2 separate regions of the Mus musculus genome follow, and region 1 is reported to be linked to region 2. The links are microRNA targets in miRTarBase. Many come from high-throughput screens and were not tested one by one. Region 2 holds a microRNA gene; the other region holds the end of a gene's coding sequence.
Evidence for each region. The annotated mature microRNA mmu-miR-133a-3p reads UUUGGUCCCCUUCAACCAGCUG and lies in region 2 at 6,978-6,999, shown strand. An mRNA with a match to its seed (bases 2 to 7 or 8) in the 3' UTR can be bound and repressed. Matches are read on the target gene's strand: a 7mer-m8 pairs with bases 2 to 8, a 7mer-A1 pairs with bases 2 to 7 and ends in A, and an 8mer does both.

Region 1: the mRNA of Adcy6 is a reported target of mmu-miR-133a-3p. Seed matches in the 3' UTR shown: 7mer-m8 at 3,715-3,721.

Annotation. Positions count from the first base shown.
Region 1 is chr15:98,580,563-98,596,033 of GRCm38, reverse strand. It overlaps Adcy6 (adenylate cyclase 6), which reads left to right. Exons shown (of 21, transcript NM_001368413.1): 16 at 872-907; 17 at 992-1,121; 18 at 1,440-1,703; 19 at 2,369-2,573; 20 at 3,237-3,361; 21 at 3,559-6,056. The coding sequence ends at 3,684. 4930415O20Rik (RIKEN cDNA 4930415O20 gene) reads right to left here. Exons shown (of 4, transcript NM_001201322.1): 2 at 10,642-10,764; 3 at 7,337-7,481; 4 at 6,446-6,622. The coding sequence ends at 6,574. Among named protein-coding and RNA genes, the nearest start is that of Adcy6, 16 kb to the left of the region's middle.
Region 2 is chr2:180,391,460-180,406,930 of GRCm38, forward strand. Mir133a-2 (microRNA 133a-2) reads left to right here and starts at 6,920; the gene lies at 6,920-7,023. Mir1a-1hg (Mir1a-1 and Mir133a-2 host gene) reads left to right here. Exons shown (of 4, transcript NR_045331.1): 4 at 9,255-10,343.

The sequences.
Region 1 (15,471 bases), not on the chromosome of region 2:
TAATCCACAGTCCCTCAGTCTCCGGGGACCTCCCTGATCCTTCTGGGCAGAGTCTCTGGTACCCAGGCCTTTGGAATGTACAACTCTCACTTGTGGGAGAAAGGGAAGGGAAGGGCTAGTTCCTGGAATGTGGCCTCAGGTAGTTACCCCAAAGAATTTCCAGTTGTGACAAATTCCTGTCTCTTTAGGATAGCTTTTAAAAAAAAAGGCCCTACATTTGTTCTGTGCCTCCTCTACCCACTGGGTTATTTTATTTTATTTTATTTTTTTACTGGGTAACAACCCTGGGTGTCCTGGAACTCACTCTGTAAAACAGGCTGGCCTGGAACTCAGAGAGCTCTGCCCGCTTCTGTTTTCTGAGGGTCCTACCCTGTGTTCTTAGGCCCTTTGGGATGGACATGTGGCCGTAGCTTGAGGTAGGAAGAATTAAGAGTCTGCTGGGTTTGAGTCCTTGGTCTGCTTCTCCTTAGCTTTGTAAGCTTCGGACAGGCGAGCTGACCTGTCTAAGCCTGAGTTCTCTTATCACTGTGTCAGCATCTCAGGCCGTCTGTTACAGTGACACACAGTCCCAAAGCCTTATGTCGCCGCAAGCACATGCTAAACCTTCCAGAAGTGTACCTGGAGTTGAATCCTTTCACTGACAAGGAAACTGAGGCTTAGAGAGTTATAACCGACTTATCCTGGACCATTTAGCTGCTAAGGGAGGAGCTCCTAGTCGGTTTAACCTTTGCTCATATTGAGCTAATTTATGTGAGCAAAGGCTTTACCCACAGGCTTGAGTCATGACTGGGCTCAGCGGTGTAGTCTCTGTCTCCCCTCCAGTATCCCTCCCAGCAGACAGCCTCCAATGACTTTTGTATCTTCCTGCCAGGGCTTCCTCCAATGAGACCTTTGATGGGCTGGACTGGTAAGTGGGGGCCCTGAGGCAGCGAAGAATGAGGCTGGTAGAGATCTCCTTCAGGCACCAAGCTTGTCTCTTGATTATTTTCAGCCCAGCTGTGGGGAGGGTAGCGCTCAAATATATGACCCCCGTGATTCTGCTGGTGTTTGCCCTGGCACTGTATCTGCATGCACAACAGGTGGAATCGACTGCCCGCCTGGACTTCCTGTGGAAGTTACAGGTGACTTGGATGGACCTTTATGGGAGGGAGAAGCTTCTGGGGGCAGAGCCTGGGCCAAGCCAGAAATGCACCTCTTGCTAAGTGGCTAAGGCTGAGTCTGCCCAAGCCCACCCTGGTTCTATGCCTCGTGTCTCCATCTCCTGTCTCCTGTCCCATCCTGTACCTGCCCCCTTCACCCCTTTGCCTGTCATTTAGGCCTCCTCTGCCTGTGCTTTTCTTCCTTCACGTGGTTCCCTGTGATGCCCATCTTCTGGCCTCGGCCACTGCGCCCAGCCTCTGTGAGTGTTGGGCAATGGCTGATGGATGTGGTGCCCACAGGCAACAGGGGAGAAGGAGGAGATGGAGGAGCTACAGGCATACAACCGGAGGTTGCTGCATAACATTCTTCCCAAGGACGTGGCCGCCCACTTCCTGGCCCGGGAACGCCGCAACGATGAGCTGTACTACCAGTCGTGTGAATGTGTGGCTGTCATGTTTGCCTCCATCGCCAATTTCTCGGAGTTCTACGTGGAGCTCGAGGCAAACAACGAGGGCGTGGAGTGCCTGCGGCTGCTCAATGAGATCATCGCAGACTTTGACGAGGTGCTTGCTCATTGGCTGGTACTGGCAGAACGGGGGCTCATTGGCTGGTACTGGCAGAACAGGGGCAGTCTGGGGACCAGGGAAGTGGAGCAGGCTTTTGGATGGAAAAGCCAGGGATAAGACCGGGTGAGTGTCCCTCGCCCAGTCAGGGACAGCATGGGGGTCAGCCTCAGTGGGGCAGGGTCATCCTTGCTGAGGAGCAGAAGAGGACAGGAGACTCTAGGACAGGGATGACAGGAGAGGTATCAGGTGATGTCACTGAAGAGGAAGACAGTAGTCAAATCTATGCGAGACCAAGCAAGCAAGATTGTCTCTCAAAGAACGAAAACGGGAACAACAAGTGAGGGAGTGTCCTGGACACTTGGGTCAGGGACGGGCTGTCACACACACATACACACACACACACACACACACACATACACATACACACACACACACACACACACACACACTGGGACATGGTTTCCCCAAACCACGTCAGAGTGTTTCTCAGAACCACACTGTGGATTGCCATCGGAAGGGAGAGAGTTCACCCACTAAAGCAATGGGGCTCTCGGGAGGAGGAGGGGGATGACAAGGAGTGAGCTTTGGAAAGACCTGGGTCTGGCTTGACCGATCCCCCACCCCCACCTCCCCGGAACACCCCCCTCCTCTGTGCCATTCAGATCATCAGTGAGGAGAGATTCCGGCAGTTGGAGAAGATCAAGACCATCGGTAGCACCTACATGGCCGCCTCTGGGCTAAATGCCAGCACCTATGACCAGGTCGGCCGCTCACACATCACGGCGCTGGCTGACTATGCCATGCGGCTCATGGAGCAGATGAAACACATCAATGAACACTCTTTCAACAATTTCCAGATGAAGATCGGTGAGGGTCTGGGGCCGTTTGTGGGTGAAGTCATGTGTGGAGGGTGTGTGGAGGGGTGGGTTGTTCTCCGTCAGGACTCCTGTGGGGTTTCTACCTCCCACCTCCCTGTCAAGTTTAATACTGAGGACCAAGACGGTTCACTTGAGTCTTCCGTGTGCTGGGGGTCTTTGCCCTAGACGTGTCCAGTACATTCTAAGTTGTACATCAAGGCCCCTCTCTAAGATAAGGGATGTGGGGTTCTCAGAGATTAAATGACTTCAGTGAAAAGTTCAAGTACTAATGGCACGTTTGACTAAATCTAAAGTGTGTGGTCAGTGTGAGATGTGGGGTCAGGCTCAAATGCTCTGGTGGAAGGCAGTGATTAAATAACATACGTCCAGAGTCTGGCTTGACTCCCCACGGCCGTACTCACTTGTTTGTAAGATGGGGCAGCAGCGTGAGCAACCAATGCCTGGAGAAGCCTTCAGTGGGATGAGCTGCAACTGTTGTCTGGACTCGAGGGAGCCACCTCAGCCATCACGGCCAGCCCCATGCCGAAGGAATCATTGTCCCCTTTGATATTTTTTTCCTTTGGGTTCTTCTCAGGGTGCAAGGGGGAGATGACTGTCTGGAGTGACCCTGGGACATCCTAGCCTCAGTCTCTTGCTACTGTCTCTACTTCAGGGTTGAACATGGGTCCGGTTGTAGCAGGCGTCATTGGGGCCCGAAAGCCACAGTATGACATCTGGGGAAATACCGTGAATGTTTCCAGTCGTATGGACAGCACTGGAGTTCCTGACCGAATACAGGTGAGGGGATGTCGCCAAGCTAGACGGGTGTTGAGGGCTTTCAGTGGTCTCTGTACAGGACGGGGGCTGGGAGCCTTTCTCGTGGCTGTTGGGGTAGGGGTTGGCGAGAGAGGAGAGTATCCAGTAGAGAACTCCTGGGCTTTTTATCAATGCATGGAGGATCCCAGGCTAAACAAGCTCCCCTTCCACTTCCCTAGGTGACTACGGACCTATACCAGGTTCTAGCTGCCAAGGGCTACCAGCTGGAGTGTCGAGGGGTGGTCAAGGTGAAGGGAAAGGGGGAGATGACCACCTACTTCCTCAACGGGGGCCCCAGCAGTTAGCAGAGTGCAGCAGCTGAGATTCAACCGAAGGGACCAAGGTGGGCATTGAGTGGGACTTTGTGCTCGCTGGGTGGAGCTGTGACAGGGGGGCACTGAGCCTCCGGATCTTGCTGACAGCAAAAGGGAACACCCCAGCGGCTGCGCTTGGACTGTGTTCGTCTGCCTTCAGAATGGCGATGGAGGGGACGCCGAGAGGATTATCCGAGGGACTTTCTTAATTGGAGTAAGGCTGGTCTTCGTTTGTTTGGATGCAGATGAGAAAGCGCAGAGGCCTGGGAGCCTCCTGTTTGAGAGTTAAATGGCAACTCTCTATGCCTACTGTTTCCCTGTCTGGGCAACAGGCTCAGGGCTGGGTCCTTTCTTTCCCTATTTTTCCTGGGACTACTTTTTGTACAAAGACTGTGGCAGGCATGAAGAACACTTGCCTTTGCTTGCCTGTGTCTGCAGCACGGGTCTTGGGCACTCTCAGAACCAGCCAATTCTCCTTCTTAGGCACAAGGCAGAAGAAGGAGGTTCTATGGGACCTAGCTCTGACTGACCATATTTCAGGGGAATGTTTCCATTTGCCAAATCCTAGTCCCGTGATCTGTCCCCAAAGGGGAACAAAGGGACCTCTGACAGTGAAGATTTAGCCCCAGTTCCTGCATGATCCTGGGAAAGGGGCATCTGGCTTTACTGGTACTGTGAAAATGACCAGCCAGAGAGCAAGCCTGTGTGTGTGAGGTCATCCGAAGAACAGGAACTGGATGGTGGATGGTGACCTGCAGGTGCCAAAGAATGCAGCAGGCAGCCAGGGAGGAGGAGGAGGAGAAGGAGGAGGAGGAGGAGGAGGAGGAGGCCGCCACACTGACCTGAGGTCTCAGTGTGCTCGAATGCTCACTTGCTGCCTGCTGGCAGGGGCCATGGAACATCTCTATCCCTTGTATTGCCAAATAGCAAAAGGGTCAGGGTTCCAAAAAAGATGACCTGACCCCAAACCTGGCCTCCTAAGTCTGGCACTAGGGAGGTCCTGTGTGTTTGTGTAATTGTGTGGGCCTGTGTGTTGTGTGTGTATGTGTGTCTGTCTGTCTGTCTGTCTGTCTTTGAGGTCTCCATGTGTCCTCATGCTCCAGTTCCTCAGCTCTTCACCGGGGACTGCCTCTCTCCCGTGGGCCTCTGTCTTCTGGCGTTAAGGCCAAGTTTCCTGTGCCAAGGGATGGAGAGTAATACCCAGGTTGCACAGGAGGTTGGGTGGTGTTTGGTAGTAAAATGATAACGGTCTGGGGAGAGGAGTCCTTTTTTGTGCCAAATCCCTAAGTGCCATTTGGGGGCCACATATCTGCACTATGACTGTCCCCCTGCCTAGGGCAGGGACCCAAGCACCTGCTTAATCTCTAGTGTTCCTTGGAACTTGAACTGTTGGAGGTTTGTGGGTAGAGGTGCAGGCATTTCCTGGGTTCCTGGGCTTGTCTCTTGGGGGCATGGTGTGCTTTCTGACTGGGGTAGTGTGGGATCCCTCTCTGAGGACCCCGATGTTGGTACTAGGGGATGGGAACCTAGGAACTTGGAACTGGGCTGCCCCAAGCCTTCGGCCTGAATCTACCATGGCTAGACTCTAGCCCCGGCTCCCAATCTTCACGAAGCCTGCAAGGGTTGTACTCTGTCCTCGCCTGCCCTTGCCTGCCTCTGACCCTTGCAGCCTCCCTGACTCTGGTCTGAGTTAGCTGGTGCCTTGGTTTCTCTGTCTGCATCTAGTTAAGCCAGAGGCATTACGCCTCCATGTCGACTGATGATCTTAGACGTGGGCAGGAAAGGCAGAGGAGAGTTTCAGGAGGTGCGGAAGGGGCAGGCTGTACTTTGGCCCTTCCTCAAGCTTCTGCCACCCATTCTCTGCAGAGGCCTGGGTTCTGGTTTGGTACTGCTTTCCTGGAAATCTCCATGTACCAATCGGTGGACCACTGGGCGCTTGATTAGCCAAGGCAGAGGAGAGGAAGATCAGCTGGTCCAGGCAGAAAATTTCCTCTGTCTCCCCGAGCCATATCCTAGCCTTGGATAGGAAGGGACTACTAGACGCCATTGGGGCAGGTGTGAGGTATATAAGCCAAAGCAGGGAGACCTTGGCTTTGGGTCTGCTTCTTGCCAGGTGGGAGGGGCTTGTCCACACCCTGGCTCCCCGTACCACAGTGCCAGCCAGTCATGTCCCTCTCTGAGTTACCGTAGCCACTCTCCTCACCATTTGGGGAGGAAGTCAGGGCACGGGAGGCAATGGGCTCTGGTTTTATAATGTAACCACTGTCGGAGTGGGGGAGGGTGACGTACCATGTATTTCAGTGAAATATTTAATATATTTAAATATCAATAAAATCAAACTCTTTGTATAAAAAAAAAAAAAAGAAAAGCCCTGTTCTCTGCAGCTGTTTGGGTGCAGGGTTGGGGGTCAGAAAGTGACAAACCCTGGTAAAGCAAGCAAGCTCCTCTCCCAGGAGTCTCTGGGCCTCTCTCATCTGTGATCTAACAGCTTCCTGTGGTTTTGTGCCTGTCAGGATAAAGCTGCAGCCTCCTCAGACAGCATGACTGCTCTAGGCCTTTCAGCATCCTGAGGGCAAATGTCTCACCCCAGGTGTTTGCTCTGACCCCTGCCGTGCATTAGGTCTAGACCTCTGGTGTTGCCATTATAGCCCTTCACTTCTCTCACACCAAGATCTAGCTTCATGAGGAATCTCACACAGGACTCATGGCCTTGGGATAACTCCCTTGCCTCCTCACACCCAGGATGCAAAAGTGCCTTTTAGTTCAATTTGTTTATTCTGCACTCTTCCCCCCTCTCCCCACTTCTTTCATGGCTTGGCCATCTTCACCCCCTCCTCGCCCTCCCTTCCAGTTTTCATCTGTCCTGCAAGCATGCGCTCCTCAGTAAAGACTGAAGGTTTTGTCATTGAGATGAGAATGGTCCACAAATCTGAAAAAGAGAGAAACTGTCTCAGATTGAGCCACGCCAGGATAAAGGGAAAGGGATATACAAGATCTTTGTGACTGCCGGGTGTGGTGGCACACACATTTAATCCCAGTACTTGGGAGGCAGAGGCAGGCAGATTTCTGAGTTCGAGGCCAGCCTGGTCTACAGAGTGAGTTCCAGGACAGCCAGGGTTACCCTGTCTCAGAAAAGAACAAAAACAAAAACCAAAAAAAGACCTTTGTGACTGCCTCTGGGCATGTGGGCACGCATGATGGAGAGGGACTACTGTCAATGGATGCTGGTTGGGGTGGAAACACCCTCAGGACCCCGCAGGAATGCTAGAGACATCGATTCTGTGCCTATTCAAAGTGTCACCCATAAAGCAAAGCAGACAGATCCAGCTACACCATGTAGAGACCACACTGCCCCAGGGTCTGAGGCCCACTTTCCTTGATAAGGCTCAAACCTCTTCTATACTCTGACATCCACACACACACACTTTTTTGAGCTCTGGCTCTCCTGGAACTCTGTAAACCAGACTGGCTCTGAACTCACAGACCACAGAGATCCACTTGCTTTTGCCTCCCCAATGCTGGAACTAAAGGTGCTTGACACTTAAATGGAGCTGAAACAGACTCCGGGTTCACTGTGGGGAGAGAGTTTTTGCTGATCTCCCACCCTGACCCTCCTCAGCATCAGATGATGCCAAGACCTCACCTGGTCATTGGGCTTTTAATGAGACAATGGTGTGGAGTCTTGATCCAAGGAATGGCTTTCTCTGGACGCACGCCTGGGATGTTGGACCGCCAGAAGCTGAAGTTCTGAGCATCAGTCACAGGGACTCTGAAGACCTGATTGGGGACTTTTGGGAAGAAAGGCAGGTGTTCATTTCCTCCAGAGTCTTTTGTTTTTCTGTCTTGGGATCAAAAGCACGGTCCAGGAAGTTGTTGTAACCAGGTATGGAAGGTGACCAGGTGCGGAAGGCTCCTGGGTATGTGGTTGACACACCCTAGGTCACTTCTGGGTTCCACCATCTCACACCCTTCATGGTCACATGGTTTAGTCTTGGATTTTCCTGGTACTAAGTAAGCCCATCTCTAAGACTTGTGGGAAAACAGGTGGAAACCCACTTGGGAAGTGTACAAAATGGAGTATTGATTCAATATATTTTTTATTATATTAAAAAAAAATTTTTTTTACTTATTCACTTTACATCCCGGTCACTGCCCTTCTCCAGTCACTTTGCTCCACAGTCCTCCCCCCATCTCTCTTCTCTGTCTCCTCTGAGCGGTGGGACCCCCTAGGTGTCCCCCCAGCCCCCAGCCCGTCAAGTCTCTATCTTCTCCCTCAATATCTTTTCTCAATCGCCCTCACTCACTGTTCCCCTTCTGTCTGAAGTAACGCGTAATCTGCTCATTCTGAGGAGTTCCCTGAAACGGAAAAAAAAATGACCCCACCCACTTTGAGAAACCACGTGCAGATGCTATCGTCAAGCACCTGCTGCTCAAAATATTATATAAGGTACTTGTGTGTGTGAAAGTGTACCTACATACAGGCTTGTGTATATTCAGGTATACACGGAAGCCAAAGGTTCCCGAGGAGCCGTCAAGAAAAGTCTGTCACTAGGACCAGGGGCTCCATGATTAGGCCAAGTTGGTTGCAGAGTCAACCAGCGTCAGAGATACACCTGTCCCCTCTGCGGCTCTAGAGTTATGAGTGTGTACTTCCAAGCCCAAGGATCAAGCTCAGGTCCTTCTGCTTGCAGTGTAAGCACCTTACTGACTAAGGTGTGTGTGTGTGTGTGTGTGTGTGTGTGTGTGTGTGTGTGTGCGCGCGCGCACGTGTGCATGTGCGTGCTTGCGTGTGCATGTGCACATGCTCTCATTCCTGTGTGCGTGTGTGTGGAAGCCAGAGGTTTAATGTTGACTGCCTTCCTCTATTGCTTTGGTTTTCATAATCTCATGTTGTCAATTAATATATTTTTGTTGTTTGAGACAGGGTCCCCTTTGCATGTCCCTGGCTGTCCTGGAACTTACTATGTAGACCAGGCTGGCCTCAAACTCATAGGGAGTTTTGCCTCTGCTTCCCAAGTGCCAGGAGATTAAAGGGTGGGCCACTGGGCCTTGCAAAATTTCATATTTTAAAGATCAAATTATGGTCTAATATTTTCTGGTTTTCTCTGTAATCTTGAGAATTTTTTAAAATTCTTAATCCTTTGACTAAATGTTACATTTTACCTAGCTGTTTTCCCATTAATTAATAAGCTTTAATTTTTTTTTCTGTTAGAAATAAATTAAATGCCCTCTTTCTTATATTTGCCTGTTTTGATCTCTAAAAGTTTTTAGTTTAGTTTAGGCCTGACCTATGGAGGCCTGTAATCTCAGTTACTTGGAAGACTGAAACAGGCAGACCACAAGTTTAAGCCTGAGCAATGTAGTGAAAGTCAATCTGAAAATTATGTGTAGGTGTATATACACATATATATACATACATGTGTATGTGTGTGTATATACATACATGTGTGTACATATATACATACATGTGTGTATATATACACATACACACATATACATACAGGTGTGCATATATACATATATACATGTGTGTATATGCACATACATGTGTGTATATGTACACACATGTATATATACACACACATGTATGTACATATATACATACATATGTGTGTGTGTGTATATGTATATATGGCTGGAGAGATGGCTCAGTGGTTAAGAACACTGACTGCTCTTATAGAGGTTCAATTCCCAGCAACCACATGGAGGCTCACAACCATCTTTAATGGGATCTGATGCCCTCTTCTTCTTCTGTTTTTGTTTGGTTTTTCTTTTTTTCTTTCTTTCTTTCTTTCTTTCTTTCTTTCTTTCTTTCTTTCTTTTTTTTTTTTTTTTTTTTTTTTTTTTTTTGGTTTTTTTTCCAAGACAGGGTTTCTCTGTGTAGCCCTGGCTGTCCTGGAACTCACTCTGTAGACCAGGCTGCCGTCAAACTCAGAACTCCACCTGCCTCTGCCTCCCAAGTGCTGGGATTAAAGGCGTGTGCCACCACGCCCCGGCGGGGCTGGCCTTTTTTGATAAAGCAAAGTTGGAGTTTGTTAAAGGAGACGCGTTCTCTTTTATTTGTGTATGCATATGTGGCGCCTGTTGCTTTTACTGTGTTATGGGTGTCTGTGGAGGAAAAGAGTATCAGATCCCCTGGGGTTGGTGTTTCAGGCAGTGAACTGTCACATGGGTGCTGGGAACAGAACTCGGGTACTGTGGAAGAGCAGCAGCAGTAAGGCCTCTTAACCTCTGAGCCATCTCTCTCTCTCTCCAGCCCCAGAAATGGCGCCCTTCCCTTCCCCTCCTTCCCCTCCCCTCCCCTTCCTCTTTGCTTGTTTGTTTCATTTGTTTGTTTTGAGACTGGGTTTCCCTGTGACGCCTTAGCCATCCTAGAACTCACTCTGTATACTAGGCCGGCCTCGCTCGAACTCAGAGACCCACCTGTGTCTGAGTTCTGGGTTAAAGTTCTGAGTTCTGAGTTCTGAGCAGGCCACCACTGCCTGAGTCCTGGGATTAAAGGAGCAGGCCACCACTGCCAGGGTAGGAGCAGCTTTCTGTAGAGAACACAGTTCCTTGAAGATCCCTATGCCACACCGCCACACCGTATGCATCGAGAGTCTGCCCTACAAGCTTTTCTGAATGCAGCCGAAGAGCTCCTGTTTGCAAGTGTCTGGGAGAGGTTAAATGGCTGAAGGAACTTCACCAAGGTCACCCAACTTGTTTGGAGTTTGGGCTCAGTTCAAATTACAAAGCAGGTGCTGGCTCTCCTCCTCCTCAGCGGGTGCAGCAGACAAAAACACCTCGTATGTTCTTTCCTGTTCCAGCTCTGTGCTGTGATCCTCACAGTTCTGGGAGCCTTAGAAAACACAGCAGCACCCCCCCTCTCCCCATCACCGAGCCTGTGACATCCTAACCCCTCTTTACCATCTTGGACTCATTCCTTGTTTCCCACTCCGAGGTACTTACACGTTTTTAACAACACCTTTCGCACAGCTTCCTGGTACCTCTCATGGCTGTTCTGGTGCACAGAATAATTACCATCTTCTGAGATAATCGGGGGAAGCCTTGTGGGCACTTCATCCTTCTGGTCTGAAATGAGAAGATCCATTTTGAATACTTGGCAAATGAGGCTACTTTATTCTCTGATTTTTCCTGGTTGCTGTGCCAACTAGGCACATAGGGACCTTCCCTAGCTCGCTCTGGCATTCAGTTCCAGTATCCCAGGAATTAAATCCTCTGGCCTGTGATAGAGGCGAGGGAGGAAGAACTTTGGGTTCACAAGAAACCCTCCACTCTTCTCTGACTCCCAGATTTTGAATGGCTTTCCACTGGACCCAGGAGACTGGATAGATAGTTAGGACCAATGCAGGTGCAAACAGGCATAGACTTTCCCAAGCCTGACACTGGCATAGAACAAATGGGTCTGAAAGGGGAAGTCAGGCTGCTAAGTCCTGGAAGATGAGCAATCGGGGGCTAGGGGAGAATTAGGAAGGTGCTTCAGGCAGCAGGATGAGAGCTGTGAGAGGGAGAGGGAGAGAAGGAGAGGGGAAAGGAGAGAGATAGGAGAGAGGGAGGAGAGGGGAGAGGAGAGGGGGGGAGAGGAGAGAGGGGAGGGAGAGGGGAGAGGAGAGAGGGGGAGAGGGGAGAGGAGAGGGGGAGAGGAGAGAGGGGAGGGAGAGGGGAGAGGAGAGAGAGGGGAGAGGAGAGAGGGGAGGGGGGAGAGGAGAGAGGGGGGAGAGGAGAGGGGGGGAGAGGAGAGAGGGGGGAGAGGGGAGGGGGGGAGAAGAGAGAGGGGAGGGGAGAGAGGAGAGAGGGGGGAGAGGAGAGGGGGGGTAGAGGAGAGAGGGGGGAGGGGGAGAGGAGAGAGAGGGGAGAGGAGAGAGGGGGGAGAAGGGAGAGGGGAGAGAGAGAGAGAGAGAGAGAGAGAGAGAGAGAGAGAGAGAGAGAACACTCTGTTGATTGATTGGAATCTAGAATGCTGGGTGATGTGGTGATGTGGAGAGGGACCAGCTTCAGGGGTGGGGGGTTGGGGGACCCAGAAAGGTTTCACAGTGGGTACAAGGTGGTTGTGTTTTGGAATTATCTCTTATAAAGTAGATCTTGTGCTTCACAAAGAAGACCAGCTCTCCTTCACTGGACCTCTCAAAGCAAAGGAAGCAGGCTAAGCTTACATCAAACACATCTAGATTTTATTTATTTATTTGTTTGTTTGTTTGTTTATTTATATTTGGGACACTATTTCACTGTAGCCCTGGCTGTGTTGAAACTTGTATAGATCAGGCTGGTCTTGAACTCACAGAGATCTGCTTGCCTTTGCCTCCCCAGTGTGGAAATTTAAGCTGTGGACTAGTTTTGTTTTTTGTTTTTGTTTTTTTTTAAGATTTATTTATTTATTTATTTATTTGTTTGTTTGTTTATTCATTCATTCATTCATTCATTCTATTTTATTTTATTTTTAAAGATTTATTTATTATTATATGTAACTACACTGTAGCTGTCTTCTGACACACCAGAAAAGGGCATCAGATTCCATTATAGGTGGCTGTGAGGCACCATGTGATTGCTGGGAATTGAACTCAGGACCTCTGGAAGAGCAGTCAGTGCTCTTAACCGCTGAGCCATCTCTCCAGCCTCGTGGTCTAGATTTTGAGCTAAAGATGGTTTTGCAAGGAAGCTGTGTCCATTCAGAGCTTTTACCAGTGATGGGCACCAAACAACATTACATCCTGTTTCTCCCAGCAGCCGGCAGGACTGAGTGGCTGGGGCCAGCAGTGCTCACCGTAATGTCCAGTGCAACAGTGTCTGCTCTGGAGTGGATGTGACAACTTTTAAGATGCAGGACAGCATGGCTTGGTCAGGGGTGAAAAGAAGGGCATTGTCTAGGGTTGTTCCAAGATTTCTTTTGGCTGTTCCACACAGTTTGTCACCCAAGCTGTAAAGAAGCCGGGCCCTGACCTCTTCTCCCGTAGCCAGGCCCCTAATAAGGCGCAGCTTTTCACCTTTCTCCGTGTCTCTGTTCTGTTCTCCGGGAGCCGTGGCTCTGACCCACTCCCTCAGATTTTTATTTTTTCCTTCTTATTAGTGCTTGTCAGGGACAAGATCAGTATTTACCCTTCTCTCTGGAAACTGTTGAAGATGGCTGACTCATCGCCTCGATGTTGCTTCTGTGGTGTTCTTTCCCAATCCCTGACTCTTTTCCTCCTCTCCCTAGCTCTGCCTCACTCCCTCAGCATCTCTCTCCTCGCCTCTCCATGTTGTCCTCCAAATGAAATCTTTAACATCCTAGGACAGAGGACCCCACTGGAGTGAGGAACAGTTTAGATGTCACCTCTGTGAAGCTGCAGATGTAAGAGGGGCTGGCCATTCTGATAGCTCTGCTACAGCGCTGTTCTGGGATGCTGGCCTGCAGCAGGGGCTGGTCTGCACTTCATCGTGGGTGCCAGCAATGAGGGGTTGCTTCTGGCAATGCTACCATTTGAGCCTGGTTGTTCAGCCTCGGGCAAAGTAAAAGTAGCAATACGTTCTTGGACAAATTGTTGTGAATTGAGGAGTAATCGTGGGCATGTTTCTGGTGGGTGTTGGGAATCTGGGCTGAGAGTAAATTATGGTTTTTAAATGCAGGTGACAGCAAGAGCACCTTCTGGTCTCCAGGCATCAGACTGTTTCTTAAGATGCAACCAGATGATGTTCTCTGTTATGTCAAAGAGCCCAAGCAGCAGGCTCGCTCTCAGCCTCCCATATGGACGGGAGCTGTGTCTGGAGTCTGCGCGACAGTCTCACCCACTTGGATGCCTGCCACTTGAGTCGAGCATGCACCTTGCTCCCAAGGTTCCTGTGGTTTTGTTTTTCTTTTTTCTTTTTTTCTTTCTTGTCAAACTGGGAGATATCCTTGGTAGCTTATAGCTTCCCCAGCCTGCCCAGGTTTGGAAGGTGCCGGCACGAAGGGTGGGTAAGAGACACGTGATTCCTGAGGAAATAGGAGGGACCGTGAATAGCTTCTTCTAGCATCGGGCCATATGTTGGGAGTTGCCACAAGAGTACATTTAATGCATTGACTGCACTTTGAAGACATCCTGGATGATACGAGAGTGCTTGGGTGGATCTTGGTCTCATCCTAACTAATGATGCAGAGTTTTCAGTCTTATAGGTTGTCATGTGAGCAGGGGATGGCTCTAGTATCTAGTTATTCACAGACTCGGTAACTCCTTGAAGTCTGACTTCTAGGTTAAGGGTTGGTTACAGGTTCTAATGGCAACAGTCATTATACAGTACTTGCAATTGTCTTGGTCTTGCTGGTTTACAAATGGTAATACCACTTAATGGGAAATTCATATGAGGTCAGGATGAGAGAAAATGTTATGGTATTGTACATAAAACCACTATGACTTCTGGGCTGGCTGGCCCAGTAGTCAGGACTGTTAGCTCGCTCTGCTAACTTGAGAACCAGAGTTTAATATCCTCACACTGACAAGGCTGGGTGGGGCCGCATGCGTTCATGCCTGTAACTCCAACACAGAGGAGACATAATAAACAGGGGGATCGCTGATGTTTGCTGGCTGCAATTCTAGTCAAAAAGTGGGAGTTCCAAGTTCTTCAGGAGCCCTTGCCTCAAAAGATCAAGGTAGAGAGAACGGTAGGACATCCCGGGCTCTCCTCCAGCTTCCGTGTGAGCACAGGCCTACTCATACACACACGCACACACACACACAAGTGCACACACACACACACAGAGACATCATATACACATAGAGCAGACATACACACAAACCTATTTTTAATTTGAAAATTATCCCTATCGAGGTCATATCCAATGGTATTGGCCTGGGGATATTAAGATGATTTGCTGACGTGTGTTCGAAGGGCTATCTGTACTTTCTGTCTTCCCTGATGACGCAAGGTCATTATCTGTGCTTCGGGAGGAAAGGGACAGAAGCAGGGGCCCAGGGAACCATATTCTCAGGGTAAGTTTGCCATGCAAGGCCAGTTTCGTGCTTTTGTGTCTTCCTTTAGTGGTGTGCCTGCTCATTCTGAATGTAGGGGAAGCAGATGGGGCATGAGCCGCAGAGCGACTTAATGCTTCAGACTACTTAGGTAAAGTGGATTTCCTAGAGATAAAGATAGCCAATACTCATGTGTCCCCTAATAAGTAGGGACTTAAAACAAACAAACAAAAACAAAAACAGAGAATTTAAGTCATTTGCCTGTGGTTGAGGTAGAAACATGAGTTTCCCCTGAATTGCTTGGATCCAGAGATTCTCTTTCTGATCATACACAACTGCATCTTGAAATAGCTATGTGGAGGTTTCCACATAGAGGAGAGACAGAGGACTTGGACTGACAGCATCAGACTCCTTAGAGATGTATACAGATATGCTGGAAAGATGGCTCAGTGGTTAAGAGCACTGGCTGCTCTTCTAGAGGTCCTGAGTTCAATTCCCAGCAACCACATGGTGGCTCACAACCATCTGTAATGGGATCCGATGCCCTCTTCTGGTGTGTCTGAAGACAGCTACAGTATACTCATATACATAAAATAAATAAATAAATAAAGAGAAATAAATAATTAAAGAGAGAGAGATATGCACAGATGTGACTGCTTACCTAAACTCAACCTTGAGTTGGATGGAAGATATGAAATATTAATCCAGAGGGAGAGCACATGGTCTCTGAGCTCTACTAAATGTAGGATGTAATTTCTGAAAGTCAGCACCGGAAGCAGGAAAGAGTGGAACTTAGTAGGTCGCTCTCCCAGTGAGCCGGACCAGTCCCAGTAAGGAAAAGCATGGAGGAAAGGCT
Region 2 (15,471 bases):
GGACTCAGAAGCCGTGAGAAGGCATGTGCTCCCTTTATTGAGTTCACTGGAATAGGGAGGCACTGATTGGTGCTCTTCGACTTCCAGATGTGCATGTACAGGAGTCACAGGTCCTGCAGTCTGGCGGGGGAGCAATAGGGTCAAGCATCATGGTAGCAAGCTTATTGTTCCATACTATGGTTTATACCTGATACTTAGGACTGGGCAGTCTGCAGATTGGATTAAGCCACATGAGTGTCTAAGTGAGAGATTATGTGTGCATGTGTAGTTATCAATTATCTTCTTCCTCCTTGTCCTCCTTGTCCTCCTCCTCCTCCTCTTCTCCTCCACCTCCTCCTCTTCTTTTCTTCTTCTTCTTTTTCTTCTTCTTCTTCTTTTATTCTTCTTCTTCTTTTTCTTCCTCTTCCTCTTCCTCCTCCTCTTCCTCCTCCTCTTCCTCCTCCTCTTCCTCCTCCTCTTCCTCCTCCTCCTCTTCCACTTCTTCTTCTTCTTCTTCTTCTTCTTCTTCTTCTTCTTCTTCTTCTTCTTCTTCTTCTTCTTCTTCTTCTTCTTCTTCTTCTTCTTCTTTGGCCAAGTGAATTGTGCCAGCCTCTTTAAAGAGGGGTTCTGACATTGACTCCAGCTAAATAAATAATGTCGTACCTCGAGGGCGATAAAGCATTTTATGGCATAGGTTCTTCAGACTGTGTGCTGGGCTCCTCAGCAATCTCATTTAGAACTGTTGACTTCATGTGAAGAGAAGCATCGAAGAATAAACTATTAGGTGTGGTTAGGTTGGCTGCAGGATGGCTATTTTGTCTGCCATAATCCAAGTCACAGTTAACATTGTTAGAGCTGCATCTTACCCCAACACCAAAATGTTGTAACTTTATAAAAGGAAGGAACCTGAGTGATATTCAGGGCCAGGGCAACCGGGCACAATGACGAAGATGCTATCGAGGAGGAGGGAGGGATGTGCGTACAATTGCGTTAATCGCTGCCACCTTAGCAGAATGGGTAGCCAGCCTTCTGTGAGGCTTTGTGCTGACTCAGCAGCCATGCACTTTGGATTGCAGGTCTCACTCTGCAGTACAGTGCTGTTCCCTGCTCCATGGCCAGGTCCAGGGCACCCTCCTTGAGGTTGGGCTGAGGTTGACTTGAGTGTGGTGTGGACCAATAGAGGTAGGGTGTAGGGTGAGGCTGGCTTTATAAAGAACCCCAGTTTTGTTCACTGTCCTTACCTGGCCACCAACCTCAGCCCCAGTGTCCTGGGTGAATCACACTTGGAAAGGGGGCAGGCATGGCTATTAGGCAGCTAGGGAAGCAAAGGGGCAGTACAGACAGTTCTCAGATGTTCTTCTTCCTGGGCTCAGAACCTGGCCAGCTACAGTTGGATTTGGAAGGTTCTTTAAGGAGGTTGCTTGGTGTCCGGGGAGGGAAGTGTTCTTTGCACTTCCAGTTCTCCCGGGCCGGCTGTGACCCTGGGAAGATTGGAGCTGCTGAGCGTGTGGGAGGGGGAGCAGCTACAGCAGCTGGAGTGGTGCAGGCTGCTGCAGAGCTGCTGCAGAATAGCCGCAGCTGCAGGCACATGCAGGGCTGCGTGTCTCAAGGGCAGAGATCTCCGGATCTGCAGGCCGGGTGGGAAGGGACGAAGGCGGTGGCACATGGGCCTCCCAGGCCTTCTCTGTCCACCTGCAGGGAGGGCACTGAAGAAGCTTTAGAGTCAAAGTGATGGGTTTGAGGTTGTGGGCTCTTCCCTGGCCAAGAGTGTCCCCTACAAAGTGATTTAAAGTCTAGGGTCTCTTTCCCTGAGGTCAAACCAGGGGCTGGGCTAAGAATAGTGCTTCCTCACTGGTGCTGGGCAGATGACGTGTGGGCAGGTGCATGTGCACAGGGAGGATAGATTCAGGATAAACCGGACATTGAACCAGAGTATTTTTAACTGCAAGAAGGGGAGAGGGCAGCTGTCCTGGAACCTGTCATGGGGGTTCTATGGGGACACTGTGAAGTTGAAGGACACCGGGGACAGATGTGCCACCTGGACCCTATCCTCCTGGCAGCCCCATGAGCCCTCAATCATGCCCAGATATGGCCACAGGGCCGTGTGTGTCTCCCCACTCTTGCCCATGTCATGGCTGGTATAAATAACCTGCATTCTCAGCTGTCCTGTTGGAGACGGCTGGACTTGGGTGACTTGGGGCTGCAGAGGCCCAGGAGTGCTCCCCACCTCCCATCAGCAGCTGTGACCCGAGTGTGGCTCAGAGCTCTGTTTTCTATGTTTCTCCTCCTTGTGGGCCCCTCCTAGGCTGTTGAGTCCAGGTGAGATCTGGCTGCTTCCTCTCAGCCCTTCTCAAGGGCACAGTGCGGTTTTCGCTCACTGAAGAAGGGCAGAAGAGAAAGAGTCCCAGATCTTGGAGCTGGTGTAGGGGACGCCCTGGTCTTATCACTGCAGGCTGAGTACTGTGGCAGGCTTAAGTCGCTGTAAGGGTGTCCTGCACACTCTGTTTTGAGATCCGCCAAGACCTCACGTTTGAGGTTCCCTTTTCTGATCTTGTCATTGCTCACTTTTGTCTTAGCAAATAAATTTCTAAGAGTAGGGTTCACATCACAAGACATCCTTGTGTAAGGGATAAAATGTTCATCTGGTACCCTCAAAGGCAGGTTATACTCTCATGTCTGAAGACAGTACCCTGTCCTGCCATGCCTCTGCATCCTGGGAGACCTCCCCCAAGCCATAGGGAGACGAAGAATGGGATAGAGGTGAGAGGAATAGCACACACTGTCATGCATTACCCAGGCCTTCCATGGTGTCACATGGAACACCTCTGCTGCTTCGTCCAACAGCATATCTGAACTCCAGGTTCTAAGCTCTGGTAGCTCAGGGTCTATTTTTTCAGGAGATGAGGTACAGTATGTGTATGGGGCCCACCTTCCCTATCCACTGCAGGACCTTTAACCAGACTCTGTGTTGACAAGCCACTTTTTTTCTTGTCTCTGGACACATCAGTCCCTCAGAACAGAAATTCTGCCTGCTGACCTCCATGGAGTTCTTATCTGCAACTTTTCCCTTAAAATAGAATCAGCGATTAGTAGGGTCCTAACTTTGAGATAACACACACACACACACACACACACACACACACACACACACACACACACAAACACACACTCCCACATACTACACATGCACACCACACACACACACACACACACACACACACACACACACACACACACACACCATCTGTGTTTTAATTTTTGCAACGAACAGCAACACAATCGTGTGTCCCGTCCCTCCCCTGCCTCCTCTGCTTGCCCCCTGTTCCATGGGTCTATTTCAGGTGGAATTTATCTCCAGGAAGGGCCTCATCAATTTGCCATGCTCCTTTGTTGACAAGTTTATTAAAAACTCAGGCAACTCTGGTATTAAACTTTTATCAGTGTTGAGAAAAGATAAATTTTTTTGAACAGACAGAAACGTTATGGATTTGGGCTGAATGAGGCTCGGTGGTGCTTTGGCTGAGTCAGCACTGCAGATACAAAGAAATGGTGCTGTTTGGGGGTGAATGCTCCTTTGGCTTTTTCTGGAGATTGTCCCATGGGACTTGATACTCTCAAACAGAACTTCCAGAAAGTTCCTGAGCAGCAGCCCTGGCCAGGGCCGCTAGTACCCACTGGGCTTCCTGCAATTCTTTGCTCTCTATTTTAATAATGAGCCACTATGTGAAGCTAGATATTAATTTTGTGGCGAATCTGCTTGCTAGTGGGCAATGTCACTATGTAGAGAAATACTAGGTTATTGGTGCTTACATTTTACATGCCCCACAGAAAGAAAACAGAAAACATCAAGTGGGAGTTGGTGTAGCGGCTAGCTACACATGTGACTAGGTTCAGGTTGTCTTTGAGCAGGAGTATTTAGTATTATGACCTCTGTGTCCCTGGAGGTGGCTGTGTATTTTCAGCTGCTGTTCCTGACGTCCTGAGATGAGGCTGAGAGAAACCCTCCCACTGTCCTTGTTGGCCATATAGCCAGGGGTCACCTGTGGAGCTATGACAGGCATGGAATAACAGGACACATAGGGCTGGCCATCAGACAAAAGGTCCAGTACTTACTGCCTTCAACACTTTTCATGTTGGGAAACGGATCCCCCAAGAGGCCCAGGAACCCCACAGTTTCCTCTAGTGTGTAGTGTTTTACTCCAGAGTCTGAGGTCATTCTGAGTCTCAAAGGTCAGGCCCGGGGACAGACAGCTGGGAGAGCTTGCTATAGCGTCTGACATCCTGGACTGCTCTGCCATCTCCAAGCAGGGCCCAGCAGGGGTCTTGGACCCCTGGCAGATGCAGGATGATGCAAATGCTTCCTGGTGAGGCAGCATCTTTGCACAGCATCACGAGTTCATGGAACTTCAAGGGGTGAGAGCGAGGTGAGCCATGTGCCAGGGACTGCCGGCATCGACTGTGTGTCTGAGAGTGTTCCCTGCTCTGTCCTTATCTCCATCACTCTATGCTCCAATTATAACTAATTGAGTGTGTACTGCATTTTCACGGCGTCTAATTTTTCCATTGATTTTCACCAGGGCTGCTGGTGCTTTCAGCATCGAATGCTCATGTCTAGTATCCATCGCTGCTTGAAAATGCTGAGTGTACCTCTCCCTCGAAGGATGGCTCCATCAGCAGATGTTTTAAAACATTTTAAAAACTGTTTTGTCTGTAAAATGCAAAACAAAACAAGCCCCCAACAACAACAACAGCAAAACAAACAAGCAAACAAAACCCACCCCAACAACAGTAGTACCCACAGTCCCATTCTGTTCACTTTGAAAATCTGGTAAAGACAGGATTCCCAAAGAAGCCATGCCCACAGGCTCCAGACCAACCCTCAGCAGATACTGTGTGTGCCAGCCACATTGGGTATCTCTCTGCTAGGCCTGGCACCATGGCTCTAAGTTGGCCCTTCAGGGCTACCATGACCCCACAGGTTGGTTTGCCTTCTAGCATGGTCAGGGGCACACTGTGGTAGAGTTGTTCTTTGCTACAATGAAGTCAGCCTCTCATGTCTTGTGTCCGAGGGAGCAGGGTGGCTGAACAAAGATGACCGTGAAGAAGAGGGCAGAACAGCCTGGGATATAACAGTTTTTAGGTGAAGTAAGTACCCATGCCGAGGAGGAGGTGGGTCTTATGGAGAAGTCATGGGCCCTTGAGGTTTTGGAGCTGTGTGTAATGTGAGCATCTTTTTGTTGTTCAGAAAGGAAATAAAACAACACCCACAGGGAGTTCAGGGAGGTCCGTATGGGGGAAATTCCTCCAATCTGGTGACATATGGACAGAAATAAGAACCTTCACAGGGACCCAAGGGGAGTGCCAGCTCTATCATCCTGTGACCCCTCTCCTTGGCAGAATGAAATTGTGCCCAAGGCTTCGGCAAATGAAGTTGCACTGGAGCAGGACTTGGGCTTGACACATTGGGGCAAAGGTAGCTGCAGTCCTCTTCCTCGGTCCCCAACATGGTAGCTAAGGGCCCAGGACCAAGACTCAGGGCTAATTCTACCTCTTGTCAAATCTTCCACTCCAGTAACTATATTGACAGCATAGACAAAGGGTTGGATGCAGCCAGCATCAAGAATCATTTTCATTAAGGGCCGGTGAGGCAGGCTGGGAGCCTGGTGCCTGCCCTGTGTAGGAGCAAGGAGAGGAGAGCCATGTGCTGAGCCAGAGGCTGGTGGCTGGGAGATCCTCTGTGTCTGTGTGGGTTGGAAGGCAGAGCCTTTCCTGCAACTCCAGGGGGACATCAAGACATCCTTAGGAGGATCTTTCTGCATCAGGGCTGCTTGGAAAGACCACTGTGAACACAGGCTGCAGTGGGCCCTGTGGGGGCTGAGGATGTGGGGTTACCCAATGGTTCTCAGAGGGGTGGTATTCACTGAGGGTAGACACACACACACACACACACACACACACACACACACACACGCACACGCACACGCGCACACACACACACACACACACACACACACGCACACACACACACACACAGAGAGAGACAGACAGACAGACAGACACAGAGACACACAGAGACAGAGACATACACAGAGACAGACACAAACACAGAGACTGAGAGACAGACACAGAGAGAAAAAGAGAGACAGAGAGAGACAGAGACAGAGAGAGACAGAGAGAGGGATTGGAGACCATGTCCCTGTGCGGCTGAGGACACTTTCACCTCACACCCTTGCTCCAGTTTTCTGAAGGGAACGTGGACCTTCTGAATCATCAAGAGCTGTGAAGTGAGAGGCTTAGGGAGGCCAGAGAATGGGGGTATGGACACTGGGCCTTTTCTGTCCCATGTCACTTCTTATGCTACATAAACCAGTCCATACTGGAATATTCCATCTTCTGCCTTCCCAGAGCCATGTGTGGTGTCTGATATACCCTTGCCCCCAAGGTCACTACAAGCCAGAGCTGTTTGCCCAGTCACAGGGCCCACGGCTCGCTAAGAGAAACAGCCGTACCTCGGCACAGTGAGATAAGAGAACATCTGGATGATGCAGGCAGAGTCAGGGTGTAAAGTGTGAAGTCTTCAAGCCTCGATGTGAGTCCATGGGTCAGAGGCTCAATGGTCTTGGATATATTCCTGAAAGGAGTGACCAGACAGGACTCTGGACAACGCTGGTGTATATGTGGTATATATGTATATAGCAAGTAAGAGGTGGAGGTTCGGGGCGTAAGGACCAAGAACTGCTTTTCCCCTTCCCAGTAATGTCCTGGGGGTGCCATTTTGGGGCACATAGAGTGTCTGAATGTACATGTGACCCCTCACACACACCCTGAAGACCTCCAAAGCCCTTGGGTTTGCATGGGTTCTCAGAGCAGGGAGAGCCTGGGACAGGACAGCAGCCTGACAGAACCATCTTCTTCCTGGAGTCTCTCCTCCCAGTGGATCAGAAGCCAAATGCTTTGCTGAAGCTGGTAAAATGGAACCAAATCAGCTGTTGGATGGATTTGGTCCCCTTCAACCAGCTGTAGCTGCGCATTGATCACGCCGCATGGCCCAGCCAGAGGACACAGCCACAGCAAGGACTCTTCAAAGGCTGCTGCAGGGAGGCCTCCGCAATGGTCAGATCCAAGAAAGCCAGGTCACGTGCGCCACCAGTGGCCCTGGGTTGGGATCCAGGCTCCCCTTGTCTCCTCAACAGGCAAGTAGAGGAGGAAGCTGAAACCTCCCTAAGCTGTGACTGACCCAGTCCAGGTCACTTGCCAGGTGACTGTGAAAAATAAATGTTCTTTTCACACCAGAGCTTTGCGTAAAAACTGAGTGCTGGGACTCAGGCAGGTGGGGCTGGGGCACAAGAAACCTCTGATTTCCCCTTAAGTAAGTTCCATGCTAAAGGTGCTGCTCTAGGCCCTGGAAGGTAGCGTCCACCTTTGGCTGATGACCTGAGGGACAATGTGAGAATGTATATCTTGTCACTGGGGAGGCTGAGCTGGTAGCCACTCTCCAGAACACATGGTGGCACTCGATTGGCCGCTGAGAACCCTGCAAGGTGCCACCGATCCAGAGCCCTGGCAGAGTCCTGTGGCACAGAGGCACATGTGAGGGTTGCTCTCATGGGAAGCCAGACCACCAGGTGTGTCAGCAGTTAGCTGAGGCAGTGCAGTCAACTTTGCCTCTGCTTGGACCCTTATATACAATGCTTCTTAGGCAGGGTCCTGCACAAGGCTGGGGTTGCTGGGCGCTCACAGTGACTGTCTAGTGGCCTCTAAATAATGTGCTTGCCAGGAGTGAACTCCACCTCCTACCCAGAGTGGCAGGGCCAGGGTTGCTTGGCTTAGGGGCCATGGCTGTCAGCCTGAGTTAGTTGAGGTGTGAGGACAGAGGCCTGAGAGAAGGAGAAAAATATGGCCACACTGACAGAAGCTGTTGAGCCCAGCCCTGCCTGAGGATCAGCACTCAGTCTCACTATCAAGCTCAATAAACATTCCCGTCTCCTCTCTACCCTGATTCTGCACAGAGCTGGCATCTCTCTTCACATGTAAGCTTGTCCTCCAGAAGGACAGGAAACTAGAGGCTGTCGGAGGGCAAGGCAGGAAATGATAGGCAGTCTTTACTGGGGTCTTGCATCCCTGAGTCCTTTATACCTGGTAGTGGGGTTGGCCGCTTTCCTGTGACCTGCCTTCATCTGAAACCCCCAGGAATGTGCTGGTAGAATGTGCTGTCCTTGTAGGATCTTTTGCAAATGTCTACCCAGTGAGTTGAGTCCAGTCCTGCCCCAGCGGGGAGACTGGGAAAATCTCCACCCCCAAACTGGTAGGATCTGGTAGGAAAACAGGTCAGCCTTGGTCTGCCCTGCCTCCAATCTCATCCAAGAGCAGAGAGTAGAATAGTTTTCACTGTCCTGTCAAATATCCCGCCTGGGTGAGAACTGGGCTGCACCCACCATCATGAACACTGGGCCTCATTCATTTCAAACAAGTACTGAGACACGCCCACCATAAGCACTAGCCCATACTTCCATGGGTACTAGACCACACCCACTACAAGTGCTGGGCCACGTGCATGCTAGGCCACACAGTTGATCAGCACTGAACTTCATCTAACATAAGCTCTGGGCCACACCCACCACGAGCACTGGAACCAGGCCAAGAGCTGCCCAGACTGGATACAGTGTGAACATGCTGTTCTTTGTCCAATCAGTCTAAGCCTTGTTTAACATAGGACCATCATGCCCACTCCTTCCTAGACAGCCAATCTAGATTTGGGCCAAATATTTCCTGATAGGGTACATCTCCAAGATGCGTACATCCTGGGAATAGGGGCCCAGCCTAGAAAAAGGCATATCTGGAGTCTAGGGACAGATACGTGGACAGTGCCCTGTCTTGTCTCATCCACTTGGCACCCACAGTGCCCTGTGAGTTCAGGGCAAGTGCATATGCAAACACCATCAGCCAAGCCAGGCAGGACCCACACCAGGCAAGCATCCTGTGCTCAGAGAGGTGAGACACCCCTCGGGGTCACAGTCAGTCCTGGCCAGCTCAGAGTGGATTGGAATGCCTGATGTCTAACCTATGATCTGGGTCTCCCATGTGGGAGGAGAGACCCTGGCTATTTATGCTTAGGGGGCAGCTGTTTTCACTGTTTGTTAAGCAAATATCTAGCCAGGTGGGAGACACTGGAGCATCTCACCATAGGGACTGTTGGAAAGAGTTCAGACAGGAAGGGAGCCCCATACTGGGCAGCGGCATTCCTTACACAAAGCTCTATCTTTTCTTCTCCCCAGGGAGGGACGGCAGTGTGGGTCCTAGGAGAGCATCCAAGTAGCCAGTGCCATGGGTAACAGGGATCACAACTAGATGGAGTGAAGACCCCCTTGGACAGAGAGTCGACCCCGATCCCAATCTTGTGCTCTTGCCCCACCTGGGTTATGAGAAGCTCTGCTCATCTCTGACCAAGATTCTCAAGTTTATGAATGGACCCAAACAACATTGTCCTCCCAAGGTCCTCAAGTTTATGAACGAACCCAAATATCATTGTCCTGCCATCCATAATTGCTCCTATCCTATGTCCCTTGAATGGCACTCTTCAAGCCTTGTTGGCCGAGACTTTCCTGGTGTTCCTATGGCCTGACTGTGGGCTGACTGAAGTCATTCTGATTTCTGAAAGTTCAAGATGACAACAGGGTCTGGCTTCCTGCAATTCTTCATGGTCCTTTGGGGAGTCTACCCCCACTTCATACTCTTTGATCCTTGTCTGTCTTACCACTTGTCTTAGTTAGGGTTTTTCTGCTGTGAACAGACACCATGACCAAGGCAACTTTTATAAGCACCATGTTTAACTGGGGCTGGCTTACAGGATTAGAGGTTCAGTTCATTATTGTCAAGGCAGGAACATGGCAGTGTCCAGGCAGGCATGGTGCAGGAGGAGCTGAGAGTTCTACATCTTGTTCCAAAGGGAAACAGAAGATTGGCATCCAGGGAGCTAGGATGACGGTCTTAAAGCCCACGCCCATAATGACACACCTCTTCCAACAAGGCCACACTTCCTAATAGTGGCTCTAAAGACCACTATTAAAGACTCCCTTGGGCCAAGCATATTCAAACTATCATACCACCTCTGCCCCAGGTGTCCTCAGCTTCCTGATCATGACCCTTGCAAGTGACTACTGTATCCTGGATCATGGAGTCACATGTCATGGCCTCTCAGATCCCCTCCTTCATCCTGGTCCTTGAGATGAGTTTGTAGAAGATACCAGAAGGTAAATGCTGAGAGCAGAGGTCTGAGAGGTTGTGGCTGGATAGATGACAGCCTGGTTAGGTCTAGAAGGTGGGACCCTGGAGCTCTGAATGCAACTAAAGATTTGAACCCACTCACATGAGATGAAGTGTTTCCAACTCCTGCTTCCATCCTGACCCGAACACAGCAACTCTTATCTTCCTACGGCATCAGCTTGGGTCCATTTTCCTCATGGACCTCGGCAAATGTGCTCGTGTCTCAGCCGTACCCTATGGGCTGCACAGCTGGAGTCTGGGTCCTACCTGAAGTGATTCTTTCCTATAAGTTGGCCTCTAGCTTCCTGTTAGTCACATCTGGGGAGAGAAAGGACAAATGGCCTTAAAGGCAGTCTGTCTCTGATGGCACAAAGGCCAGTCACTGATCACAACTCTGAGCAGGAGGGCAGTAACTGAAGTGAAGTCCACATCTCTCCCAGGGAGGCTCCAGGTGGTGTGCTCAGTGAGCAGGACATGTACCCCGCTGTTCAAGCCATGTCAGAGGACTCTGGAGGTGCTAGTACAGCCAGGGCACCTGACCAGGCTGCAGGCATCTTTATCCACAGTTGGTTCCACCACCCTCTGTTCCTTATCAGTGTGTTCTGGGAAGCCCCTCTGCTGTTAGAGATGCAAAATAGCAATGATAATCACATTGAGTGCTGGTTACACCCCTCCTGCTTCTCCTCATCCCCACTCCATGCTAGCGCAGTCAGGGAAATGCACTTGCCTGCACACGTTGCACACACACACACACACACACACACACACACATACACACAACACACACACATGCAGACACACACACACACAGACACGTTCTCACATGCCATAGATTCATATGAGCACAGTCAGACATGTGTACACTTCTTACACACATATCCAGACACACAAGTGAATGCACACATCACATACATGCATATCCTACACATTCTCACATGTACACACAGTCTCAGTCCTGTATCGGTGCACATCCACACACATGTGCACGTGCATGCACAGAGGTGGATGCCCTTGCTAACATGCCCAATGAATGTTCTTCCAAGTGCATGGATGTATACACTCTCACAAACACACACACACAGACATGCTTGTGTACAGATGCACAAGCAGGTGAACTTGCATGCATACTCACAGGCACACTTCTGCATATACTCAGCATGTCTGCACGCCATACATAGTGGGACTAAGGGAAGACAGGACTCTGTTAGCAGAGGCTATCTCAGGGTGGGAGGAGACTGAGTGTGCACTGGTGGACTGGGAAAACTGAGGGGAGCCGGTGAAGGGACCAAGGAGAGAGAAGGGTAGGCCATGACGAAGTGGGCTGGGTGCTGAGGGATTGAGCTTCCTGTTCAGTGCTTCCCCAGAGACCCAGACCCGCTCCTGATGCTCCCTTACACCATGCCACTTGCTTCCCTTTGCCCTGCCACCACGGTGGGGCTCCCCTGCAGCCCCCATGGCTCTTGAGCATGAGGGTCCTGTACCAGCCTGTAACAGGAGAAGTGTGCGAAAGCAAGTGCAGCGGGGTCACACTCACCGCTGTGCAAGTACAGTGAGGCCACACTCACTGTTCTACAAGTGCGGCAGGGCTCACACTCACTGTTACACAATTGAAGTGGGGGTCATACTCACTGCTGTACAAGTGCAGCAGGGGTCACACTCACTGCTACACAAGTGCAGCAGAGGTCACATTCACTGGTGTGCAAGTGTAGCAGGGTCACACTCAATGCTATAGAAAGGGAACATCTGCCTTCCTCTCTTCCTCCCCAGGGCAGGTAAACAGATTGCATCTGATTTGAGTTCCAAGTTACAATAGGCCGGGGTTGTTTGGGGGTCACATTTTGTGGTGGATGATCCTCTTCCCTGGGGATGGGGGGAGGTGTGTGATTGGCAGGAGTCCCACTGGGAGAAACAGCTGAAGAAATAGTCAGTATGAACTTTTACACCAAGAGGAAAGTCTTGGGGGCTTCAGACCCTGCCATCATGATTTCAGGTCTCCCTTTTGTGCAAAGAGAGAGTGAGGAAGCACGTGGAAGGGTGGGACTTTAGGGACTTTGGTCATGGGGCGTTGGGAAGGGTGGCCCCTGGTAGGAGGCACTGTGGGAGGCATGACCTGTGAGGATGCGGGGAACGGCAGAACTTTGGGAAGTGGTGTATTCGAGGGCTAAGTAGGCAGCTTGTCCTTTCGTCTTTTTGTGTGAGGTGCAAGCCGCCTGGCTGAATGGGAGTCAAAAGTCATTTATTCTACTGAGCATCTGTCAGTGCCAGTGAACCAGGAGTGAGGGGTGTGCAGATGGGTCGGACCCAAACTGGCTTCATGCATTTCTCATCCAGCCAGCCAGCACTCAGCCTACACTACCCTGCCTCTAAGTCTACTTCACATTTTTTCCCTTCCTGGGAATCCTAGGGAGGCCCCCTTTAATCTCTCTAGTGTATTGGCCGGAAGACTGAGGCATGGTGATGTCTCACATGAGACTTCCTGCTAGAGACTGGCTATGGGATGCTGGACCTGCTCGGGGTTCCAATGATTAGGCCTAGGACAAAGACTGAGCACTGTGCACGACTTTACAGAAACATCTTCTTTGGAGTGGTGTGTGTGTGTGTGTGTGTGTGTGTGTGTGAGTGCATATGTCTGTCTGTCTGTGTGTGTCCCTGTGTTTGCGTCTGTCTGTGTCTGTGTGTAGGGTGTGTTTGCGTGTGGTGTCTGTCTGTATGTGTGTGTGCGCACACAGAGGCAAGAAGAGGACATCAGGGTTTTTGTTGTTTGTTTGTTTTCTCAAGACAGGGCTTCTCTGTAGTAGACCAGGCTGGCCTGAAATTCAGAGTCACCTGCTCTGCTTCCCTTGGGTTTAAGGTGTACACTACCACACCCAGCTAGAAGGCTTCCTCTTTTTCTCTTTGTTTTATTGACTTGAGACACAGTCTACTTAGTGAGCTAGAGGCTAGCCTGGGCTACACAAGACCCTGTCTCAAAAACAAAACTAAATTAAAAACAAAACAGACGGGATAAGCCTACACACAAATGCACTGTTTAATCGGATCTTCCGAGGCAAAGAAACTTAAACTACTGTGGAAATTGCCGAATTCTGTCTCTTCACCCAGAATTCTCCATGGGCCTGTCATTCCCAGCACTCCTCCATTCAAGAGTGACCCCATCCAGTCCTTCATAGCCCCCACCCGTGTCTCCCTGAGCACTGTGACTGAATGCTTTGTCTCTCTTTTTAAAATGACCGAGCTGGGTGCTATCTCTGTTCACCTTTAGTCCCAGCACACAGGGAGGCCAAGGCAGGTGGATGTGAGTTCAAGGCCAGGCTAGTCTACAGAATGAGTTTCAAGACAGCCAGGGTTACACAGAGAAACACTGTCTCGAAAACAAAAAGAAACAAACAACAACAAACAAAACATGAAAACAAAACAAAACAAAAAACAAAACTCAATTAAACAAAAAAACAAAAACTTCCAAGTGTTTCTAATCCATAACCCATCCCTTCTCTCCAGACAGTGCAGACCAGACCATATGACCCATGTTCCCATAGTGGGCTACTGGTTGAGGCCCTGTACTACAGCCCACCATATGCCTCTGTTCCTAGGCTCCCCCACCATGATAATTGGACCAGAGATCATCTCAACTTGTAACCCTGCAGCAAGGCCAGGCCACTGTAGTGTCTCTCCACCAGGAGGTACAGTTTCAAGCTCTTCTGGGGTAGTTGCTCACACCCAGAGCCATCATGCTTTAGGGTTGCAAAAACTGATTTTCTAAGTCTACAAGGCCATCTTTGCTGATGAGCAGGGGTGTTTTCATGGAAAGTCTTCCCTCAGCTGTGACTCTGCCCCCAGATGCACGGCTTAAAGCAAGAAGACAAAGGGTTTTTCAGGAAGTTTGCTTTCCAGAGACCTTCCAGGGAGAGAAGTATGTCTCATTCAATATCACAATGGTTTTAGGTTCTTCTCTGGCTGTGACTGGGGGGCACTGAGAAGTCAGCAGTTACTCTTCCAGAAACACAGAAAGCAAAAGGGCGGAGGGGGGTGGAACTTTGCAGAGATGGTGATCAAGTGTCTGAGAAAGAAGCCTGCACAAAAGATGGCAGGAAGAGCCCAGGATGCTCTCCCATGAACATAGTCACGAGGATCGCAGATGAAGGCACAGACAGGAAGACAGCAAGATCATTACTCCTGTGCACCCACAGAGATAAACTGGCCTTTGTCCAGGAGTCAGAGACATGAAACTCCATGTTGGGAGCCCAAGGGTTGGAAAGCTTGCAGGATCTTCACTCCTGTCAGATCTCAAGCAGCCCCTGTGTTCACATCAGTGCGACTTCTGGTATTGTGTCAAGGACCATGGGACCACACACTGTGTCCAGTGATCCAAACCTGAAGTCTGCGAGTGAAGTGACACCCCACCCCCCACCCCCAAGCACTGCTATGGCAAAGTCCATAGGAATTGAACTGCCCTGACATTTAGATTGGCCACATTCGGGTAAAAATGGAAGGAGAGTTTAACTCATGAGCAGTACTGGTGGGAACACGTCAAAAGAGCCCTTCAGAGTCCTCCATGAAACACAGTGGGGACAAAGATGTCAAGCCATAGGAGGCAGAGATGGTGCCAGGTACAGGCAGGACTAGGCCTTTGATGGAAAAGTAACTAAGGTGTCATTGCATTTATTGTTTGGGGTCTGGAGTCTGGGCAGTCAACACTGGATTGTATTGTTGAGGGTTAATGAACTTAAACATGTTTGACAGTTGCCAATCATCAATCACACAGTCCCACCTTTGGTCAGTAGGCAGCTCCTTAAATCATCTTCTTAGCCTCGTGTTTCTTCCCTTTTAAAGTCTACCTTATTTGATTTATGTAAAATGAGGTACATACATTTAGATGTGAGATTTGTTGTTGCAATAAACCCATGTGCCTGTGTGGCCACCACAGCGTTCCATCAATTCTGAACTTTCCCTCAAGCGCCTCTGAACTTCTTGCCTGCCCTGGTTCAGTCTGCACTGACCTGATTACAGCTGTCTGGAGTGGGGCTGCTGAGAGAGTTTCATTAGCTGAACATCCTATCACCTTTTGATGGGTGTTTGTGGTCACCCAAGGGCTTAGCAGAAGCAGCCTTGGCCTCCATTCACAAGACTCGGGCCTAAAAGCCAGGGCTGGGACTGTGCTGGGACAATCCACCCTCATTCATGTGATCCAGATTAGTGGATTGGAGAGGCCTCAAGCTCATCTCAGAAAAGGAA